Linked DNA regions of Stegostoma tigrinum. The protein of the gene in region 2 interacts with the protein of the main gene of each other region in a biochemical or structural test. Links are inferred from orthologs where the notes say so. Each region holds a gene or a part of one and is shown on either strand. Other genes may lie near its edges.

Evidence for each region. The genes of interacting proteins can lie anywhere in the genome.
Region 1: the proteins of vcpip1 (region 2) and waca form a complex in vitro, tested with the Homo sapiens proteins (2 studies listed by BioGRID). The link is inferred for Stegostoma tigrinum from reciprocal best matches to the Homo sapiens genes VCPIP1 and WAC.

What each region holds. Positions count from the first base shown.
Region 1 is NC_081355.1:124,993,626-125,001,274, forward strand, and holds the start of waca (WW domain-containing adapter protein with coiled-coil), read left to right. Parts: upstream 1-4,539; 5' UTR 4,540-4,738; coding exon 4,739-4,779; intron 4,780-5,055; coding exon 5,056-5,089; intron 5,090-5,847; coding exon 5,848-6,037; intron 6,038-7,649.
Region 2 is NC_081358.1:31,502,034-31,509,944, forward strand, and holds the start of vcpip1 (deubiquitinating protein VCPIP1), read left to right. Parts: upstream 1-4,840; 5' UTR 4,841-5,122; coding exon 5,123-7,730; intron 7,731-7,911. UniProt on the Homo sapiens protein: Deubiquitinating enzyme involved in DNA repair and reassembly of the Golgi apparatus and the endoplasmic reticulum following mitosis. Necessary for VCP-mediated reassembly of Golgi stacks after mitosis.

The DNA.
Region 1 (7,649 bases), on a different chromosome or scaffold from region 2:
GGGATGGGTCTGGGTGGGATGCTTCAAGGGGCTGTTTCCACACTGTAGGGAATCTAATCAATCTACAAGATCATGCTTGAAGCTGTGCTTCTAGATTCCTCCCCAAAAAAAAAGGGAAATATCACTTCCGCACATGAAATCCTAGTTCTGTCAAGCCCACTTAGAACGGTGTATGTTTCACTAAGATCACCCCTCATTGAGCTTTCAGCCCAACCATCCCTCATTAAAAGAGCTGAGGCTGGCAAAGATAGCAGTGCATTACGAAGTGCAATTTAGGACAGAAGGTGGGCTTGGGACTTTGGTGGAGGAAGCCATTTTAAAAAGGTTACTCTTTCCCAAAATCAAAATGTAGTTTTCAATTAGCATTCTCTGTTTGCAACTACATTTATCATTAGTGTTTGCAGGAGCTGGAAACTGAAATTTAAAAAAAGGGCTGGAGATTCAGCAAGTTTGACAACACTGAAGAAAAACAAGAGTTCTTCCTCAGCGCCTGAAGTTTTAGCATTTTTGAGTCCACTATGACAACTGTTTCTCTCTCCAAAAGACCTATGTTTCACCAGCACTGTTTTTACTATTGTAATAGATAAGTTCCCGATGCAGCAGCAGCAACAGTGAATGAGGAGGCTGGTTAGAACTAATTTCTTGAGCAGGAATGCTGACTCATCTCTACACTCACTGAAATCCTACAAACATTAGGTGGTTTTGCTAAGTGCAAAAAGTAAGCAAACACTAAGGTTATGACAAGGTGTGCCATTTTCTCCCCAGTTTTCTTCAATCTCTTTCAAATTTAAGCAAATGCTCAGTTCTCCTCTATAATAGACAAATTCAGCATAAAACTTGATCCTCTCAGCCTAATTTATTTCTATCTGTATTTATATACCCAGTACATCTCATTCAACAACCTGACCTCCTGCCCCTATACAACAAACCAAGGTGTGCCTCAAATGCATCTTGTTCACCATCACACTGCTTCCCTAAACTATCAGGGTCATAACCAAATTCACAACTGTGCAAAATGAAGTTCGATTTCATGACAACTTCCATGCTGCCTTGATAGCACATGGAACAAAGCCCTCAAAACTGGAATTGCTTTCCAATCAAACTTAAAAGACCTCAAACAAAATTGCTTGAGAAACTCAGCAGGTCTGACAGTATCTGTGGAGAGAATGAGTGTTAAATGCTTCAAGTCCAGGAAAATCTGTTTTTAGGCTCTTACTAAAACTTGCCTCTTTCATATTCTGAGGAAACCAAATAGCAGACTACAGACTTACATGTGCAGTGATCAAAACTACTTTGTTACATCTTCATGGCAATATTTGTTTTACCTACACTACCATTCATAGCTTCATAGTTTGATTTCTCCAATAGTCTCACTACTTGAGTGAAAAATGCTTTATTAATACCTAACTCAGACTTCCTACATCAAGTCAAACGATATCATTCATTAACTTTTCTCAGCAGACCAATTTTGAAACACTATTTTCAAGTACCTCCACAACCTTGTCCTATTCTTCTGCAATCATCTCTCACCCTTTAAGACCACAATATATAGAATTAGGCAATTTGGTCGATGAAGTATATGCTACCATTTAATCATGTTGCTTCTCTGCACCGTTCTCTTGCCTTTTCCCAATCACACTCGATCCCCTTGTTAATCAAGAGCCTCTGTCTCTTTAAATATACCCAATAGCTTCCACTGATTCACCATCCACTGACGTAAGAAGTTCCTCATCAGAGTTCTAAAAAGGTTTCTCCTTCATTATGAGGCTGTGCCCTCAGGTCCAAATCTCTCCTACTTCTGGAAACATCATCTTCACAGGGATAACAAGCTGGATGAACACAGCAGGCCAAGCAGCATCATAGGAACAGGAAGGCCTAGACCCTTCATCTTCATGTCCATTTTGGTGTTGAATCATTTATTGTCATGTATTCAATACAAAATACAGTAAAACGCAGTGTACTGTCACCATATATAGACACCAAGCACATTAATTTAGAATAAAGTTAAAATATATAAACTCAGGGGAGTCCAACTTTTCTTTCTCTGCTGATACTGTCCCCGACACCATCTCGCACCATGCCACCTCCAGGCTTTTCAGTATTTTGTCAGTCTCAATGAGATGTCCCTTTTTCACTGAAACTCTACTGCGTTCAGACCCAGGGTCCTCAACCATTTCTTAGATAACAATTGTTGTAAACCACCTCTGGACCCCTCCAAGATCAGCATACTCGTTCTAAATATGAGGCCCAAAATTTCTCTCAACTTTCTGAAATGCAGCCTCATTAGTACATCTCTGCTCTTGTATTCTAGCTCTTACTAAGTCAAATGCATTCCAAACTGCCAACTGAACCTGCCATGTTAAACTTAACAGAATCCTGAAGTAGGACAAAGTCCCTTTGTATATAAGATTTCTGAAGTCTTTCCTCATTTAGAAAATAGTCTATGTTTTTATTCTTCCTATTCCACTTTGGTGCTGGGTTGCTGAATTCCTCCCTCAATCTGCAGCATAATAACTGAAGCAGCTCTCCTAACTCCATTAACTTAACTACAGCACTGTTATTTTTAAATGCTTTCTCAGTAATGAACACCTCATATTTGTTTAACTATTGGATAAGTTAACTAGAAAACACACATATGAATCTCAATAGTTTGGAAACTTGAAATTTAGTTGGGAAAAAAATACACATCCACTGGTAGCAGTAAAAGTGATAATGAAACCATCACTTGGCACAAAAAAAAAATCAAACAGATACACCAAATTTTGTTTAAGGACAAACATAGGTGCTCAGCTGAGCAATGTATTCAGTTGAATCAACAAATGCCAGCTATATGCAAATCTCAAGGACAAATGCATTTTAAAACCCTGCTTCCAATCATCTCCTTCACCACCCACTGCCAGCTTCAGACTCTGATTCCATAGAAAATGCCTTAGGACTTCCAGTGATAGGAAAGATGTAAATGTAAATTTGGTTTTACATCTAATACATTAGATGTACATGGTTAAACATGTAATACATTCAGAGTTAAGACAACAATAGCATATACCTGGAAGACATCAATATTGAAGGGTGTCAGTGAAAAGGCCAGGGATTTCAAACAAAGGCACAAAAGTAACTAGGTAACAACTGTTAGCACCAATTTAGATTTAAAGATGAAAAACAGTACAGAAAATTTTGCCAGAATGTTATCCCAAGGTACACATCTAAACAAGGTTTATGAAAGACTCTTCTCTCCATTGTTTCCTTAACATCTTAGTTTTTTGCTGATTACATGAAGCAGATAATCCTTTCCAAAATATTCTCCTCACCTCAAAAGTGAAGGATGAGCTGCTGTAAGGTTTTTTTGATAAGACAAGTTTGAAAACACATTATTTACTTTACCAATTAGTTACTGCACTGTGTACATCTCACACTATATTGCTTTGGCTTTTGTTAAAGTTTTTAAACTTTGTAATTGTGTAGTTTGAAATAATTCAGGGGCAATAGAAGGTGAACAGCAAATGTTGGGTTTGTGCGTTAGTCACACCGTAGAAAACAAAGTGTTAAAACAATGGGTACAGCAAGTGTACAGTTTGCATATTTGTGAAGATTTTCAGCTAAATATTTCTGCGCTCCAAATAACCGATCGAAGAAAGAGGTTCAATGAGTAGAATATTTCTTAACTCTAATTTTGCTTGTTAGTTTATTTTGAATGGCAAAACTATCAAATCGGACACAAAAAAACACCCAACTATGTGCATCCAAGACTGATTTTCCGCAATACCGAAACAGTGTTGGAACAATAAGATAACGACGTCGCAAAGTTTATTAAGTGTCAGCAAATCAAGAATTTACATTACTTTTCTTCAATACAACATTACCGAGCCATACGGTCTTCACGTTTTATTTACTCTCATAACACCTCGAAAGAAAATGGAAACAGACGGCAAATAACATATTTTGAATCATCGCGCAACGGTTAGTGGCTAGAAAGTAGACAAACAAGCGATGCACATGCACATGTAAAGCCCCAACGTAAGTCAGTGACTGGCTGCCATTTACTATACACGATCACTCCGCAGGCCCGCGCAGCCATGACTTGCCCTGGCGCAGTCCATCCATCAGTGTCTTACTGAGTCTCTGTATTTACCCTTTCATTTGCGTGTGAGGTTTGTTTTTCTTTTTGGCACCGAAGAACTCAACTCAGCGAATATTGTGTTTTGTTTTTGCGGGAAGAAAAAACACAACCGTTCTACATCCCACCGTTCACCTCAATCTCTCTTTAAAATAAGTAGACGTCAAGCCACGATCCGGTCACGTGACCCATCTCCCAGCATGCCGTTTAGAAAATTAGGAAGCCAGAAATCAGCCGCTTAGCAAATTAGGAGGCGACCTTTGCAATATGTATGAAATGGTGTGTTGTTTTATGTAGCCGCCTCTGTTCATTATTTATTTGCCTCTTCGTTTTGCTCGCGTGCTGGCTTCAGTTGAACGGAAAGAGCCGAAGGGTTTCCGGAAAAAAACGATCGTTGGCGGGAGGGTCGGCTGTTCCCGATCGCTGACGCGTTACCCGTATGTAGTATGGGCCTCGTCCTCTTCAGTGTTGGTTTGTGTGTGTGAGATGGATCCCGAGAGTTGGTAGTGTCCTTACCTGTTTTTTTAAAAAAAGAGAAGGGCCGGTTTTTCTGAATATTTTGCCCTTCCCTTTAGAAAAAAAATATAATTTACCTTTTGATCCACTCCACATACAACAGCATTGATGGTAATGTATGCAAGGAAACAACCGAGACTCAATGATGGGTAAAATGTTCAGGTTTTCTTCTTGTTATTCTTTAAATCTCCTTTTACCCTTTTTCGAATTCTCCTTATCTTTTGACAATCCGCCATTTTTGCTGTAAACCGAAATAAGTAAAAACTTAATGAAACGAATTCCCCACCTTTGTGATCATTTTACTGTGAAAGATCTTGTTTAAAAATATGTACATTTTCTGCCGAGTTTTTGTTTCAAAGTTTTAAGAAAAATACGTTTTAGACCACCGCTGGCACATTCATTTTCTGGTTTTTATTTCTTTGCAGGTGTCACGACAGGAGGGAATCCCAGCCCTATCAGGTATATTTCTCAGAGTGAATCGAATGCCATTTACTTTAATGAAGGCTTGTGCGTCTGTAACAGGCCTCACGACTTTACAGCTGGATTTTAAGGAGACGGTGCATAAGATAAAAGTTCATTTTAAAATCTTGTGCGAAAATACCATTTAATGACATCGGACGTATTTTCATGACTGTGTTTTAGATTCAATTGGCTCTGATAGCTTTTTTTTTTACTTTTGAATATGAACACATAAAAATACATGTAAATAAATTGTGAACTGTAGGAGGGCCTAGGTTTCCGTGTCCCTGCTTTTTTGTTCCTACGTTTTTGAACACCTTTTTAAGAGACATATTTCTGCTCTAACGATGAGCTGACACACAGATTTCTGTTTAAACCCAGTTGTTTTTGCAATTAATTTATTAAAGTTAGTAGGATAGGGTAGTATGTATCATTTCTGTTTGTGTTTTTAAGCCTAGTTTTAAATTCTTTCAAGGGTGAAGGCCAACATCACTTTTTAAAAGTAGGCTGCTGGAAATTTGCAATTACTTACTCTAACCAATGTTAAATTTGACACGTTAGTGAAAAGTAATACTTGTATGGAAATCTAGTCAGAACTGAAATTAAGTTATACTTAGATGGAGTTCACTTTACATGAAGAATTGAACTAGGAAGGCAATGAAATCCCTGAAAGCTGCACGTGTGCCTACAGTTGCATGTCATTTTGCTTCTAGGTCACAATTCTTCTAATTAACTGTTTTATGATGATTCTATTTCAGACTCTTAAATACCCATCCAAGAGTCACACGAGCAGCAGTGATCATCGCCATGACAAAACCAGAGAATCGGGAGATCCATCACCACCCTGCAAAATGCTGCGACGTTCTAACAGCCCTGAAAATAAACATAGTGATAGTACAGGACATAAGAGTAAAACTGTGCACTCACATCGAGCCAGGGAGCGAGACGGTACGTTACTGTGCAGTTAACATGCAGAAAGTCTTAGTTTTGCGTAAGCCATTACATTTTGGCCATCTTTTGGAAAATACAGCCTTGCTGTCAAAAAGCATTGACGAACAAACGAGTAAAATTACAAATAACATTTTTGATTAAATGCTAAACTTGCCGTTTTAAGCACTTAATTCAAATTAGGAATTCCAGATTAGTAGCTGCTTTAGGTTTGTGCACAGAAACAATACCATTTTTGTTTGAATGTAACCAATAATTGAACGTTAAGATGTGGGCCCATAGGACTGTAACTGCAAATGAAAACCTGGATGATTTTTAGTGAGACAAAAATGAAACATTGAGAAGCCTTGCTAAACTTGTGTTGAGTCTTGATTGGGGCAAACCTGTGGTACTGTGTTGCCATTTTTATTTTAAGAAGGAAAGGGTTACATAGACAATGGCAATAATGCAAAAACAAATTTGCAAGGTTGATATCAGAAATTTAATGTGTGATAACTTTGTGAAAATCATGAACAGGCTACATCCCATTTCTTTTGATGCGACCAAACTCGGGGATGAAAGAACAGAGTTTAAAGATTATTGAAATGTTTGGTGCAGACATGGAGGGAGTGTTTCTGTTGGTGACAGGATTGAAACCAGAGACTGATCATATGCGTTGGTTACAAATGAACAAGCAAAGGTGAACAATTTCTTCACCTGTAGAGTGGTAAGAATGAAGAACTTGAAATTAACGTGGGTTGGGGCAAATATAAATGCTTGTAGAATGGAGATGTGATAAGCATCTAAGTGATTAAGGGATACAAGGTTATGACACAGTTTTGGAAAAAAATGGAGAAGACTTGAGTGGAGCATGACCCTGTTTCTGTACTGTAGATGCTACATCACATGATTTTATATGGTTTTAAAATGATTCAAATTAGTGGTGTCATATTGCACCGAAAATATGGAATAAATCTCAACAGAATGCCCTTAAGGCTCGCATAAGTGCACCTTTACCAAAGGTAAATCTTTATCCAGTGTTTTAGAACTAAAACAGTATTAACATTTTATTAATACAACAGTATTAACAAATCCAAATGCAGAGATTTGGACATTATACAAAGTCATTGAATGGAATGTTTTGATTGAACAGTTACTGGTGGTCCAAAATTTTATGGCCTTTTTGAACTCAAAAATTGTATTTATTGAGCTTTTAATTCTGCAATACAGTGTTTATTGTGCATTTAATCAATGGATCAGATTTCTAACTATTCATGTTTGTGCGCACCTAATAAAATCAAATACTTACCTTGACTTAACTAAATTAGCAATTATTCTGTTTCTTTAGTGGTCACAGCTTGAATTTTCCACCAGTCTGAAATGTATAGTGAAAGGTGTTGGACTTAGTTCTCATCTATTTCACTCATGAAAAAAGCGGAGTTTGACAGATGTTGGAGCACATTTGGTGCAGGATTTGACTCAAACCCCCTTTGGACCATCAAGTCTGCACCAATCCTCTGAAAAGCATCCCACCCTATCCCCATAACTCGACATTTACCGTAGTTAACCCACCTAGCCTGCACACTGTAGGGCAACTGAGCAAAGCCAATCTACCTGACTTGCATATGTTTGG
Region 2 (7,911 bases):
AACAGCCATGTAGACAGATTTATGAACAGGCAGGGAATACAGTGATACAGACCACATGCAGGCAGATGGGATTAGTTTAAAATAGCATCACAGTCAGCATAGTCATGATGGGCTGAAGGGCCTGTTCCTGTGCTATACTGTTCTACATTCTGAAGACCAACTGCTTGGAGGCATGTAGAATCCTATGACATGGGAACTTTGCTATTTGTAGATCACTGTCTATTGGGCAGTACCTCTGACACAGTGGTGTGGTGACTCTGTGGTAGCACTGTTGCCTCACAGTGCCAGGAATCCAGGTTCAAACCCAGCCGTAGGTGATTGTGTGGAGTTTGTACATTTGCCTTGTGTCTGTGAGGGATTTTTCTGAGTACTCCAGTTTCCTCCCACAGCCAATAATTTGTGGATTGGTTATGCTAAATTATCTGCAGTGTCCAGGATTTATAGGCTAGGTGGATCAGCCAAGGTAAATGTGGAGTTATTAGACTAGTGGGCTGGCTCTGGTTTTGAAGTGATGCTATTTAGACGGGTGGTGCAGACTTGATGGGCCACATGGTTTCTTTCTGCACTGTAAGGATTGTGTGTCTTGGTTGCATCTTCTTCTCTTTGCACTTCAATTATGTGCTCCTTTAGCTTCCTCCTGACCACGATGATTTTGAGCATATGTTTCTCCCTGCTACTCTATCCAGTATCAAAATAGTATGCCTGAGAAGTATCAATTCCCCTCCCTGCCACTTGTTCCTTTCAGAAGTTCAACTACTCACATTCACAAATGTAAACCCATGGTGATAATTCTATGGCACTGGCTGAGCAGCTAGGTTTAAGGTCTGAATTTTATGGTGTGTGGTGTGGTTAGAGAGCATATTGCTTGGCTATTCCCATCTCTTGTTCAATTTGAAACTAGGTAATGTGAGACTTCTGCTCTTTCAGAAAGATGTCCTGCCCTTGTAAAAGGGAGAGGTAACAGTGTAGGAGAGGTGAGTCCCCTATGGTCACAGAGCACAATGCCAAAAGGAGCTACCACTACCTTATATTAAGTAGCATGCTGGCCTCCTTTAGTCTGCCTTCTCCAGCCTCATATTATTGCAGCAAAGGTAGAAACAGGTTCTTAATTAGTCATTAAATGGGCCAGTTAACAGCTTCATTGGTCTAAGGTCATGTGATTCCAATCTGACATCTTGGGTTTGGGTGGGAAAGCACACCAATTTTAGTTTATGCACCATATAGTCCACCACATATTCCAGCAAAGTTTCCTCCAAATCTCCATTTCTTACAAGTTGACTACGTAAGGCAATGTGGCTCAATGGTTACCACAGCTGCCTCACAGCACCAGGGATTTAAGTTTGTTTCTAGCCTTGGGTAACAGTGTGGAGTTTGCATGTTCTCCCCATGTCTGAGCGGGTTTCCACCCAGTCCAAAAATGTGTGGATTAAGTGGATTGGCCATGGGAAATGAAGGGTTATGGGAATATGGTGTGGGATGCTCTTCAGAGGGTTGGTGCGGACTCAATAGGCTAAAAAACATCTTTTTGAACTGTGGGGATTCTATGATTCAACATACCTATTGACATTTATAACTGCCACTGCGTTCACGGCAGCTGCACACTTTCTTTTAACAGTGGCCCTAAGTGAAAACAGTAAAGTGAGAAGACAGTTGAGCTCATGGTGAAATTTGTTGACAGATTGTTAATTCATTGCTGCTCCCAGGCCCTTTGAAAAATCACAACAAAGTCTGAGGTATGAGAACCACTAACAACATCTAAAATAATGATTTCCAATCTGAACCCACACCTAATCTTGCTTTCACAGGTTTTGGAGTGTGACTGACAATTTGAAGAAAAACACAAGTGAACATATTTATGTGAACGGTAAGACATGGCCCCAGGTAATACCTAATTAAAATGTTGATTCACAAAAGAAAAATGTGACATAGAAGAAAAACAACTTTTGAAGGTTTTAGCCTGACTAATTAATAACAAATTATGTTTTTTAATGACATATCACATTTTGGTATATATTATCAATATGTGAAAGGTAAAGTTGCCATAATCCCAGAGGACTAATAGGTATGCTCTCTCATTAGACAGAGATAACAGGTGGTGGTTTAACCTGAGTGTCACTGTGCCTCAGGCAAGGAGAGAAGTTGAGAGGCTGAGAACTTGATGATAACCTCAGCCAGTGCACAAATTAAATTCATGCTGTTTGACATAGAAACACGGACAATGGCTCAGAAACATGAAAAAAGTAAACATATTTTTGCTTCAGAGTTCTTTCAGGATGTCTCATACAAAATGTACATTGGCCAATCCTCATTGGTTAAGGTAATAGAACGGAGAACTGCAGTTGCCAAAAATCTGAAACAAAAACAAAAAATTGCTGGAGAAATTCAGAAGATCTGGTAGCATCTGTGGACAGAGAAACAGATTTATGGGAATACAGGAGCAGGAGTAGGCCATTCAGCTCTGAGTCTGTTCCACCATTTGATAAAGACCTCTACTAATCTGTGGCCTTGACCTCTATCCCTTAATACTTTTGTTTAGCAAAAAAAATCTCAGATTTAATAACTAATCGAGCATCCACCCATGTTTGTGGAAGACAGTTTCAAACATCTCCTACATTTTGTGCATTGAAGTGTTTCCCAAAAGCTCTCCTGAATGGTCTGGCCCTATTTTTTGACTTTGCTTCCTAGCTCTGGAATCCCCAACTAGTGTAAATAGTTTATCCACCTTGCCTTTTACTGTTAATATCTTGAAGACATTGATCAGACCAACCGTTGATCTTTAAATTCTAGAGAAAACAGGAGTCAACATTGAGTCCAGTGACCCTTCTTCAGATGCAAAATCAGAGATTGCTGCAGCAGGTGCTGGCAGCATTAGTGAAGATAAAGCAGAGTTAACTTCTAGGGACCAATGAGCCTTCCGAAGAGGCTGCCAGACCTGCGCAGTCTTTTCAGCAATTTCTTGTTTTGATTCTGATTTCCACCATCCGCAGTTAATTGGTTTGTTTTTTTTTTGAGTAAACCCTTCTTCAGATTCACGTTCCGCTCCCCACAGTTGCTGCCTGACCCGCTCAGTTTCTCCAGTAATCATCCTCCGACACTTCCGCCATCTATAATCCGACCCCACCACCCAAGACATTTTTCCACCCCCACCCTTGTCTGCTTTCCGGAGAGACCACTCTCTCCGTGACTCCCTTGTTCACTCCACACTACCCTCCAACCCCACCACACCCGGCACCTTCCCCTGCAACCGCAAGAAATGCTACACTTGCCCCCACATCTCCTCCCTCACCCCTATCCCAGGCCACAAGGTGACTTTCCACATTAAGCAGAGGTTCACCTGCACATCTGCCAATGTGGTATACTGCATCCACTGTACCCGGTGTGGCTTCCTCTACATTGGGGAAACCAAGCAGAGGCTTGGGGACCGTTTTGTAGAACACCTCCGCTCGGTTCGCAATAAACAACTGCACCTCCCATTCGCAAACCATTTCCACTCCCCCTCCCATTCTTTAGATGACATGTCCATCATGGGCCTCCTGCAGTGCCACAATGATGCCACCCGAAGGTTGCAGGAACAGCAACTCATATTCCGCCTGGGAACCCTGCAGCCCAATGGCATCAATGTGGACTTCACCAGCTTCAAAATCTCCCCTTCCCCCACCGCATCCCAAAACCAGCCCAGTTCGTCCCCTCCCCCCACTGCACCACACAACCAGCCCAGCTCTTCCCCTCCACCCACTGCATCCCAAAACCAGTCCAACCTGTCTCTGCCTCCCTAACCTATTCTTCCTCTCATCCATCCCTTCCTCCCACTCCAAGCCGCACCTCCATCTCCTACCGACTAACCTCATCCCACCTCCTTGACCTGTCCGTCTTCCCTGGACTGACCTATCCCCTCCCTACCTCCCCACCTATACTCTCTCCACCTATCTTCTTTTCTCTCCATCTTCGGTCCGCCTCCCCCTCTCTCCCTATTTATTCCAGAACCCTCACCCCATCCCCCTCTCTGATGAAGGGTCTAGGCCCGAAACGTCAGCTTTTGTGCTCCTAAGGTGCTGCTGGGCCTGCTGTGTTCATCCAGCCTCACATTTCATTATCTTGGATTCTCCAGCATCTGCAGTTCCCATTATCACTTCTCCAGTAATTTCTGTTTTTGTTTCGGACCCTTCTTCGGATCATGTTCGTCCAGCTTCTCACGTTAACTGATTTAAGATGATGTGATGGACTAACGCCCACTGCCAGCCGGCGGGCATTACACTGACGTCAACCAACAATTGTTGCGCATGCGCAGCAGGGTATAAAACGTCATCAAAGGCAGACAATGACGGGTAACTATGACACCGACTTCTCCTTGGTAACCGCGCAGCAGGCCTGGCAACTCTTAATCTGAAGTGACAATCTTGCTAACTCAAATTTAGACCGAGTTCGACAGGTCTGCTCCTCCCTGTACAAGGCGGAGCTTGGAAATCAAACAACACACATTTGAAAGCCCAATAATACGAGTGCCCTTAGTTCAGAGCATCAACTCGTGAGGCGGTGCGATAGCTTGTCAAATATTTTTTAATTGGGTGATAAGGTCACGGGAACACACTATTACAGAAATTATGACATCAAAGAACTAGAAAAAGCACACCACACAAACACGATATAACCATCATCCTAAACTCCCAGCACGCCTTTCGCTAGTCCGGCAATTCGAGTCCCCCTCTGAAAATGACCGCAAGTCACTTCAATGCACTCTGGGATATGTAGTTCCAACGCTGCACAGTTCAACCGCAAAGCCGACGGCCATGCGCTCAGCAGAAAACTACAATTTCCAAGAAGCAGCGCGGCCAAGGCGCATGCGTATCTGCCTCACAGTCAGCCTTTCCTCCCTCCCCACCCATCTATCTTCACCGCTGTCTCCTGCCTCCTCTAGAAGGGATTTGTTTCGTTTTATAACGGAAACTGAGACTGGAAGGAGAAAGACAAGGAAACTGAGTACTTCCGTGTTTCATCTTCCACTCAAGAATATTCGTGATAGGAGCAGTCTTTCCCATTATCAACTGACCATGACACTGTGAGCATTAACGACTAAATATTATATAAACTGATTTTACAGTAATCAGAAATAATCAATGAAACAATGTTGCAAGGATCTAAGAAAAAAGACAAACGCATTCTGTCAGGTACGTGTCCGGATCCCAAGTGCCAGGCTCGACTGTTTTTCCCAGCCTACGGAGTCAGCATAGAATGCACTGAATGCGGCCAGCGGCATGAACAAAGAAATCTAGTCAATATTGAGGAAGTCACCGACCCAGACGTGGTACTGCACAACCTACTGAGGAATGCTTTGCTGGGAGTCACTGCCCCCAAAAAGGGCACGGAAATGGTGAAAGTGATGGGGCTGTCCAATTATCACTGTAAACTACTGTCTCCCATTCTGACCCGGTATGGCATGGATAAGCAAACTGGGAAGGCCAAGCTCTTGAAGGCGATGAACCAAGGGGAAATGTTTGATTGTGCCCTGTTGGGTGACAGAGCTTTCCTTATTGATCCAGAGCACATTGCGACTATGGGCTATGGAAAAGACCGTTCAGGGAGTCTCTTATACCTCCATGATACCCTTGAGGAAATCAAGAAGGCAAATAGTAATCAAGAACGTTTAATCCCTGTACACGTTGATGGTGATGGCCATTGTTTAGTGCATGCTGTGTCCAGGGCTTTAGTAGGCAGAGAGCTTTTTTGGCATGCTTTGCGTGAAAATCTCAAACAGCATTTTAAGGGCAACCTGGATCGTTACAAAGCACTATTTCATGACTTCATTGATGCAGCAGAATGGGAAGATATCATTAACGAGTGTGATCCTTTGTTTGTTCCTCCTGAAGGAGTACCTTTAGGTCTACGTAATATTCACATATTTGGTTTGGCCAATGTGTTACATCGCCCAATCATTTTGCTGGATTCCCTGAGTGGAATGAGAAGTTGTGGTGATTATTCAGCTACTTTTCTTCCAGGATTAGTTCCTGAAGAAAAATGTTGGGGTAAGGATGGACAGCTGAATAAACCTATTTGTATTGCATGGAGCAGTTCAGGACGTAACCATTATATACCTTTGGTTGGAATAAAAAAAGGTCCTTTACCAAGGCTTCCTTTGAAACTGTTGCCCAAAGCTTGGGGTGTACCACAGGAGCTTATTAGAAAGTATATAACATTTGAAGATGACAAATGTATTTTAGGAGGTGATCGAAGTTTGCAGGACAAGTACTTGCAGAGATTAGTTGCTGCAATGGAAGAAATTTTCTTGAAGACACATGATATTCACCCTTCTCTGGTAGCAGATGTTCATCAGTATATATACAGAAGGACAGGGGTGATTGGAATACAGCCTGAAGATGTTACTGAAGCTGCAAAGAAGGCTGTAATTGAAAATCGTTTGCAGAAATGTTTGATTTGTGGTGCTCTGTCTGAACTTCATGTGCCCACTGAGTGGCTAGCTCCAGGAGGAAAGCTGTACAATTTAGCCACAAGCACCTATGGCCAACTAAAGCCAGACAAAAATTACAGCTTTCCTGTCAACCATCTGGTCTGCTCATATGACCCTAAAGAAGATGTACTGGTGCCAGATTACAATTTGAGTCACTTAACATCTTGCAACTGGTGTCACGGTACTTCCATGCGCCATGTCAGAGGGGATGGTTCTGTTGTGTACTTAGACGGAGATCGAACTAATACCAGATCTGCTGGAGGTAAATGTGGCTGCGGCTACAAGCATTTCTGGGAAGGAAAGGAATATGATAACCTGCCTGAGGCATTCCCAATAACTTTGGAATGGAATGGGAGGATAGTTCGAGAAACTGTTTATTGGTTTCAGTATGAAAGTGACATGGCTCTGAATAGCAATGTTTATGATGTTGCTATGAAGCTTGTTACTAAGCATTTTCCTGGTGAATTTGGGAGTGAAATCTTGATTCAGAAGGTTGTTAACACCATATTACATCATACAGCTAAAAAAAATCCTGATGAATATACTCCAGTCACTGTCGAAGGGGCACATAGTCGTAGAGTTGGTGACTTGCAAGATGAGCCAGCATCAGAACCACATTTACCAACCAAAATAATTTTAATGGGTCAGAAATCGAAGACTCTGCATAAAGAAGAACTGAACATGAGCAAAATTGAACGCGGTATTCAGCAGAACATTACTGACCATGCAGCTACTGTGCAAAAGAGGAAAACTGACAAATTACGCCAAGATCCGAAGGTACCAGGCCAACCACCTTCTCCTGGAATTGTTAAAGATGGGTCATCATCTGCCCCAGCCACTCCCATCAAATCCCCTTATTCCACATCACCTTCCAAGGTGAAAAAGATTAGAGTAACCACTAGTGATGGACGACAGGCGACACTGACCCTTCAAGCTTCTGTAACATTTTCTGAGTTTCAAGAAAGCATCGCCAAAGAATTTAGCCTTCCCCCACGTTTGCAATGTATACGGCATGGCTTTCCTCTGAAGGAACTGCACCCCCCTAAAGTGGGATGGGAGAATGAGGTATTGCCTCTGCAACACGGTGATTGTGTTTCTGTGGAGATTCTGAAGGACAGCAAGGAATCTGTTCCTGCTGCTTCAACATCTGCAACTCATTCCTGGAAAACTGAAGAACCTGAAGCATCTGGTAGAGCTTCTGTTAAAGAGATGCAAGACCATATTGATCTTGAAATGTCTTCCCTCTGCCTTCTAGCAACCTTAATGGGTGAGAAGTTATATTATCTTATTTTTATGAATTTTGGGTAACTTATGTAGGAATATTGTTGTGATAGGATTCTCCAACTGGGAACTATTAAAAGGAAGAGAAAACTTAAAAGTGGAAAGCTGACATAAATGCTAAATATATATTAGATCAATCAACACCTGAGAGTGAAAGATAATAGGAA